Linked DNA regions of Coturnix japonica. The protein of the gene in region 1 interacts with the protein of each later gene in a pairwise test. Links are inferred from orthologs where the notes say so. Each region holds a gene or a part of one and is shown on either strand. Other genes may lie near its edges. The genes, in order: VPS33B and VIPAS39.

What was found.
Region 2: the proteins of VPS33B (region 1) and VIPAS39 interact in binary tests that used the Homo sapiens proteins (3 or more experiments, as listed by UniProt). The link is inferred for Coturnix japonica from reciprocal best matches to the Homo sapiens genes VPS33B and VIPAS39.

The regions. Positions count from the first base shown.
Region 1 is NC_029525.1:18,204,492-18,209,085, forward strand, and holds the start of VPS33B (vacuolar protein sorting-associated protein 33B), read left to right. Parts: upstream 1-1,545; 5' UTR 1,546-1,598; coding exon 1,599-1,706; intron 1,707-1,807; coding exon 1,808-1,888; intron 1,889-1,961; coding exon 1,962-2,023; intron 2,024-2,054; exon of another isoform or gene 2,055-2,111; intron 2,112-2,188; coding exon 2,189-2,238; intron 2,239-2,461; coding exon 2,462-2,529; intron 2,530-2,709; coding exon 2,710-2,755; intron 2,756-2,975; coding exon 2,976-3,070; intron 3,071-3,426; coding exon 3,427-3,531; intron 3,532-3,755; coding exon 3,756-3,852; intron 3,853-3,945; coding exon 3,946-4,023; intron 4,024-4,561; coding exon 4,562-4,594. Other genes in the region: tubulin polyglutamylase TTLL6, read left to right, coding at 1-34; HDDC3 (guanosine-3',5'-bis(diphosphate) 3'-pyrophosphohydrolase MESH1), read left to right, coding at 470-581, 666-721, 894-1,134, 1,208-1,350. UniProt on the Homo sapiens protein: May play a role in vesicle-mediated protein trafficking to lysosomal compartments and in membrane docking/fusion reactions of late endosomes/lysosomes.
Region 2 is NC_029520.1:35,566,944-35,569,900, reverse strand, and holds the end of VIPAS39 (spermatogenesis-defective protein 39 homolog), read left to right. Parts: intron 1-196; coding exon 197-286; intron 287-629; coding exon 630-734; intron 735-1,002; coding exon 1,003-1,023; 3' UTR 1,024-1,459; coding exon of another isoform or gene 1,460-1,525; 3' UTR 1,526-2,439; downstream 2,440-2,957.

The DNA.
Region 1 (4,594 bases):
GGAGCGGGACGCGGCGCCCCCGAGCGGACGTTGACCTGGGAGGCGATGGAACAGATGCGGTGAGGGGCCGGGCCGGGATGGAGCGGTAACGGAGCGGTAACGGAGCGGTAACGGAGCGGTGATCGGTGATCGGTCCGTGCCCGCAGGTTCCTGCGGCAGGAGCTGCCCGAGGAGTGGCCGCCGCAGCGCCTGGCCGAGGGCTTCGGCGTCAGCCTGGACGTGGTTCACCGGGTGCTGCGGAGCCGGAGCTGCGTCCCCCCGCGCCGCCGCCTGCGACAGGACGCGCGAGCGCTGCGCGCCGCCCCGCAGCAACCGGGGCCGGACCCGGCTCCGCACGGCGGCACCGAGGTGCGCGGCCCGGACGGTTCGTTGTTGTACCGCGTGCCGCGGGGGCGGGGCGGGCCGCAATAAAGCGTTGGACGTTTATTTGCGCGTTTCCCGTCGCGCCGGCGCAGCCCGCGGTACCGACATGGCGTCGGACGTGGCGCGGCTGCTGGACGCGGCGGAGTTCGCGGCCTGGAAGCACCGGGAGCAGCGGCGGAAGGACCCGGCGGGGACCCCGTACATCAACCACCCCATCGGTGCGGCCGCGCCGCCCTGACCCGCCCGGTCCGGCCGTGACGCGGAACGTGCCCTGACCCCCCCCCCGCTGTGTCCCGTTCCAGGCGTGGCGCGGATCCTGGCGCACGAGGCGGGAGTCACCGACATCGTGGTGCTGCAGGTACCGGCCGCGGGGCCGCACCGGGGGGACCGGACCGACCGGACGGACCGACACCGGGTCCCGTGTCCCCATGTCCCCATACCCCGACACTGTGTCCCGTATCCCCACGTCCCCCGTCCCGGTCCCGTGTCCCCGTATCCCATATCCCGTGTCCCCGTCCCGGTCCCGTCAGGCCGCGCTGCTGCACGACACGGTTGAGGACACGGACACGACGCTGCCCGAGATCGAGCGGCGCTTCGGGCCCGACGTGCGTCACGTGGTGCAGGAGCTGACGGACGACAAAGCGCTGCCCAAAGCGGAGCGGAAACGGCGGCAGGTGGAAATGGCGGCGGGGAGCAGCGAGCGGGCAAAGCTGGTGAAACTGGCCGATAAACTGCACAACATCCGGGACATCCGGCGGCACGTGCCACAAGGTCCGAACACACCGATCCCGGAAACGCCCGGTACCGACCGGCACCGGAAGTGACGCAGCGCGTGTCCCCGCAGGGTGGTCCGAGGAGCGCGTGCAGGAGTACTTCCGGTGGACGGCGGAAGTGCTGGAAGGGCTGCGCGGGACGAGCCCGGCCATGGAAACGGCGCTACAGGAACTGCTGGAGGAGCGAGGGGTGGGAACGGGAACGGGGCGATGAACGAACGGGGCAATAAACGAACGGGGCGATGAACGAACGGGGCGATGAACGAACGGGGCGATGAACGAACGGGGCAATAAACGCTTTGAACGGGGCCGTTTCTCGTCTCCTTCCCGGTCGCTGCGGGCACTTCCGGCGCGCGGTCACGTGACATCAGCGCTTCCGGCGCGTGAGTCCCTCACTGTTTATGTTCCGTCGCTCCCCGGTTCCCGCAGTTCCGTTCCGGTCCCTTCGTGTCCCGCTCCGCCATGTCCGTGTCCGTGTCCGGCTCCTCCCGGCGCGACGCTCCCGACCCGCCCGATTTCGGGATCCTGAAGCGCCTGGCCCGGGACCAGCTCATCCACCTGCTGGAGCAGGTCGGGCGGGGGGCGCCGTTACGGGCCGGGGGCGGCTCCGGGGGGGGGTCGGGTCCGGGCGGGGGGTTTCCCGGCTCCGTCCCACCGAGCCCCGCCCGCAGCTGCCCGGCAGGAAGGATCTGTTCATCGAGCCCGACCTGATGAGTCCCCTGGACCGAATCGCCAACGTGTCGGTGCTGAAGGTACCGCGGGGGCCGGGGCCGCGCTCGGTGCCGCCGGTGCCGCCCGCTGACGGCCCCGCGCGATGCCCCGCAGCAGCACGAGGTGGACAAGCTGTACCGGGTGGAGACGCGGCCGGGACCCGGCGCCAGCGACCAGTGAGTGGAAACACCGGGACGCGCCGGGACTCGGGGCGGGGCTGCCGCTGCTCTCAGTCGGTGCCGGCCGTCGGTCAGTCCCGTCTCGGTCAGTCCCGTCTCGGTCAGTCCCGTCTCGGTCAGTCCCGTCTCTGTCTCACTCTCACCCCGTCGCACTGTCCCCAGGCTCTGTTTCCTCGTGCGGCCGCGGGTCCGGACCATGCGATACATCGCAGGTGAGCGCCCGACCCATCGCTGGAGCAGCGGGTCGGGATGTGCCGGGTGTGTCACCCCGCGCCGCACTGACCGCACCCCCAGCAGCGGCCGCTGCTCCTGGGCTGCACCACGGCCCCGCTCCCGGGTCCTTCCTGCCCCGGTGCCCAGCCCCCATCCTGCACCACAAACTGCGGCTGTTCGGGGCTGGGCGGCGCTTACAGGGTCTGCACGTGTCGTTTGTAGACATCGTCAATGCTGACAAGATGTCAGGAAGGAGCCGCAAATACAAGATCATCTTCAGCCCCCAGAAGGTCAGTGCTGCTCTGCCCCGTGCCCTGCCCTGACCCTGTCAATTGGAAGCTGTTTCTTTAGCAGAGCTGCTGTGCTGAAGTCAGGTGCTGTGTCTGGGCAGAAGATCATCCTGTCCACTACAGGGAGCTGTTTCCCTGCCTCTGGTGGAGCGTGACTGAGGATCCTGTCTTGTTTTGCAGTTCTACGCCTGTGAGATGGTGCTGGAGGAAGAGGGTGTCTATGGTGGTGAGTAGGACTGTGGTGTCCCACATTGTTCCCTCGCAGCACAATGACCGACACATCCCCAGTACCGGGATCTAATGAGAGGAGCAGCAGTTCTGCCCCCGCCTGGGCAGAGGAAAGGATGAGTCCCCCTGGAGGGGACCCATCTGTGTTTGCCTCCTCAGCGTGAGGAGCTGCTGGGATTCCTGGGGCTGACCGCTGCCTTTTCCTGTCCCGCGCTCAGATGTCACCTGTGATGAATGGTCCTTCTACTTGCTCCCCCTGGATGAAGATATCATCAGTATGGAGCTGCCTGAGTTCTTCCGGGACTATTTCTTGGTCAGTAGGGATGGTCTGCTGCGTTCTGCCTGTGGGATGGCTGCCCTTCTGTTGCTTGTCTCTGGGCCCAGGGGAGGGCTTTGTTCAGGATGTCCTGCTCGGGCCTCCCAGCCCGCACTGCAGGCCGCTGCCTGCTGCCTTGGGGAGGATTTTGCTTGGGGCAGCCACTCGGACGTGCTGTGGTGGCTCCTCCTGAGCGGCATTGGGCACCCAGCCTGTTTCTATGCGTGTGGAGTGGCACCGAGCCCACCGACCCCCAGCCTCTCTTTGTGTCTGATTGAGGCCCCCAGTGCACGCAGTTATTTCCAGTCCAGCCTGCACAGAACCACGTATTAATGCTGCTGTGCTCCCTACAGGAGGGAGATCACCGCTGGATCAACTCAGTTGCTCGAGCCCTGCAGCTGCTGAACTCCCTGTATGGGCCATTCAACAGGGCTTATGGGATTGGGAGGTGTGCCAAGGTGGGTATGGTAGGGCTTATGCCCTGCTCTCACCTCTGGAATGAAGGTTGGTGGAGTGCCCCATTCACTCACTGTGCCTGAGCTGAGGCTGCACAGTGGGAGCTGCAACAGCACCCCCTGCATGGCTGGGGACTGCGCTGACACCCAGCCCCAGCTGTGGCTGCAGCTCTTAGAGGACCGAGGGCTGCCCTGTCACAGGCATTGGCACAGTTTTCCCCTCACAGATGTGCTACGAGCTGTGGCGAGACCTGGAGGAGGAGAGCGAGAGTGATGGGCAGGGGAGAAAGGCAGAGATTGGGAACATCTTCCTCATGGACAGAGGTAAGGGCTGGCACTGGCTGGAGCGAGAGGCAGCAGGGCTGGGCCTGGCAGGGGGAACTGCATGGGCAGTAAATGAGGACCCTCTCATTGCAGACATTGACTACGTCACAGCGCTGTGCTCCCAGGTGGTGTACGAGGGGCTGGTGGATGACACCTTCCGCATCAAGTGCGGTAAGTGGTGGCATCAGTGATGGGGAGACATGGGGCTCTCCTGAGGTTTGTGCTTGGTCCTGGCATGGGACAGTGCTGAAGATCTGTTTGAACAAACAGCAGAGTAAGCGTTACTTATCTCTGCAGGGATGTCACTAGTGCTGGGGCAAAGCAGATCTGGGGAGACCTTATTGCAGCTTTGCAGTATGTGAGAAGGGGCTTGTAAGAAAGAGGGGCATTTTTTAAAGGGGCACATGGTGGTGGAGCACACGGTAGGAGCTTTAACCTTAGAGAGTAGGTTAAGATTAGACATTAGGAAGGACTTCTTGTCTATGAGGGCAGCGAGGCCCTGGCATGGGCTGCCTAGAAAGGCTGCGGATGACCCGTCCTTAAATGTGCTTATAAATCTGGATGAGGTCTTGGGCAGCCTGGTCTAGTGGGCAGTATCCCTGCCTATGGCTGGTGGTTTGTAACGAGGCCTTTAAGGTCTTTCCAACTCAAACCATTCTGTTGTTGTGATTCACTCTGTGGTATTGCAGCTCTTTATCTTTCCCTGTAGGGAGTGTGGATTTTGGGCCAGAAGTCACCTCTT
Region 2 (2,957 bases), on another chromosome or scaffold:
GCAGGATTTAGGACTTTCTGAGGAGAGAATTACTTTTTGGGAGTTCTTAGCAGACTTGACCTGGCTGCTCCTTGCCTTAGGATGGAAAGGATCAAGTCTGTGTAAGCAGTGCCCTAGAAAGATTTTGTGATTGGTGTGAAAGAATGAGGCAGGAAGTACCTGCAAAAGGGAACTGACTGTCTTCTTTCCCTTGCAGGTGTTGCAAGAATATGTGCGCTTAGTAGAGGATGTGGAAACACGGTTGAACCTTGCCACCAAATACAAGTGCCATGATGTTGTGATTGATGTAAGTCTTTGCTGTGTGTATGAAGAAAGGAGACAAAAGCCTGTTTTTTCTCCCTAACTTTCCCATGTCACTCTTCTGTCATGCACCTTGAGGAGTTTTCTTATTCCTGTGGCTTGGGAACAGCATATTGTTCTTAGTGAAAGCTAAGTGAGCCAGGAGCGTGACTCCTAGAGTTTGTGCTGTGCCCAGGCCTGTCTGCTTGTGCAAATGGACTCTGCAGACCTAAGCTATTGATTGGAACTTGAAGGGAGGTTGAGATGTTGACACCTGCTCATCTACAGGGCACCATCTAACTGTGATGAAGTGTCTTCCTCACTGGATGCTGGTTTTGTTGTTTGTCTAGACGTACAGGGATCTAAAGGATCGCATCCAGCTGATGGCATATAAATGCAAGGTGGAGCGGGGCTCTGCAGAAGAAGAGAAGATAAACAGCCTACTCAATAACATGGTAAGAAGCACCTACTTTTTTTAGGATCTTATCGAAGGCAGCCGTAGGCTGAGAGTGCAGTAAGGACATAACTCCTACATCCTTTTCTCTCTGCTGGGAAGTTAATGTTATGTTTGGGGTTGCATTCAGTCCAAGAACGAAGGGTGATGCTGATAGAAGTAGCAGCTTATTGCCATGGTTGCCCTTTTCATGGTCTGGGCCTTGCTAATTCAGCCTGAAGTGAACTGTGATCAGTCTGATGTTAGTCATACTTTGTTCTCTCTTTTAGCAAATCCGGTGGAAGAACTGAGCACCAGTGAAGCAACCTGCTTGGCCGTTACCTTGCCAGTACAAAAGGAAACTGTAAAAGCTGGTCCAGCATCAACAGAGCAACTCTGTTACTACTCATTGCATGATCAGTGTTTGTCAGTGACACTGGGTGCTCGTGGCACTGAAGTATTCAGGCTGGTTGAAGGCAACTGCTCTGATGCAGCCAGTGAAACCGTGGTATCAATCAATGAGGGTTGATTCTTTTTGGAATCTGATTCTCTTTGACCTGTTTGTAGGACAGTCATGGCTTTTGTTTACAGAGGGAAGTTGCTGGACCAGGCAAAGTTATGTTTGCTTATTGTGGTGTCTGGGCTCATTCTAGTAAGAGGAACAGATCAGTCACTGATGGATCTCCAGTAGACAATGCTGACTGACCAGTCCCTGTAACATTCAGGCTGGCTTGGGCATCACCAGTCATGGCTGTGGGTGACAAGGCCTACTGGACTGCGTTCTCCCTGCATCAGAGAGTGGAGGGGGAAAGGGTCAGCTGCACCTTGAAGCCTTTGGATTGTTGTGGCTCACACCAGAGAAAGAGGTGTTTTATGAACTCCCACAGAGAGCTGGTGCAGCAGCATCTGCCAGTATCCCTATGCTGGCACTTGGCAGCTCTCGGCAGATCCCTTCATCAGAGAAGAGTGGGCGTGATGTATGGAGCTGGTCAGAGCAAGAAGGGACCATTCTCAGCACAAACCTGATGATCCCAGGAAGGACTGAATTGCACTTTCTCAGAGACAAAGCTCCTCAGGCAACTGCTGGTTTCATCCTTCCAGACTTCTCTTCAATTCCTTAAATAAAGCTCTCTCTTTCTCCTCAGGCTGTTTATTTCCTTCCCACATTATGCACTTTGCAGCTCTGTGCTGATCCCGAGTAATTTGTCGCACCTCCATCAAAGTGAGTATGCAGGGTGTTTTATCATACCCTGAAATGCACAGTATCACTGTGAAGAAGCCTTGCCTGCAGCAGTGTGTTATTTCACACCTACACGCTACAGATTAACTCATTTCAGTGTTTCAAGACCATTTGCTGCCTTGGAGGTGCTCACACAGAGCTGAAGGCCATGTACAGCCATGTACACCTGAGGGCAGGTGTGGCTCCAGCATCCCTGCTGCACTGTGCACCAAGTGCGCTCTCAGTTTCTATAATCACTCTTGTTTTTTGTTGGCTTTCTTTCCCCACAGAATCATAGGCATGTTTAGGTTGGAAGGGATTTCATGATCATCTGTCTGCTCCCTCTGCTTAGGAATAGTCATCTGAAGCAGGTGGACCAGGACTAGGACTGTCTCCAGTTTCAGTGTCTCACAGTTGGAGATACTGGCTCCTCAGCCTAATTTAATCTGTTCCTGTATTTGACCATCCTCACTGTTGAAACAATAAATAAAAAAGTATTGTGCTCATATAGAATCTCACATGTTTTGATTTGAGCCCACTGTCTCATTCTGTCACAGAGCACCATTAATGAGCATCTAAGTTTCTTTTCATGCCTTGATGAGTCTTGCCCTGAGCCTTTTCAGGCTGACCAGTCGTGGCTCTCAGCCTCTCAAAGTTGCTACAGTCCCTTAGTCCCTTTGCTAGACTCTAATATGTTTGTGCCTCTCTTGCACTGAAGTGTCCAGAATGGGACACACAGCTCTGGGTGCAGAGGATGGACCATCTTTGTCTTGTTGGTGCCTTTCTTCCTAACACAGCCAGGATGCTGCTGGTTAGGGCAGTGCTTTCTGCCGGGCTTATCCATGTGCCCCAGGCCAGGAATTGCTGGGTTGTTGCTGGTTGTGTTTTTTACAACGGAGCAGCAGGCAAAGCTGAACATGTCCTTGGAGGAATATGATTAAGCCCAAGAATAAATCTCACCTGCATTCCCCAAGCTTGGGTCCTGGATACCTCACCTGTGGTAGGTTAGGAGCAAAGTACAGCAGG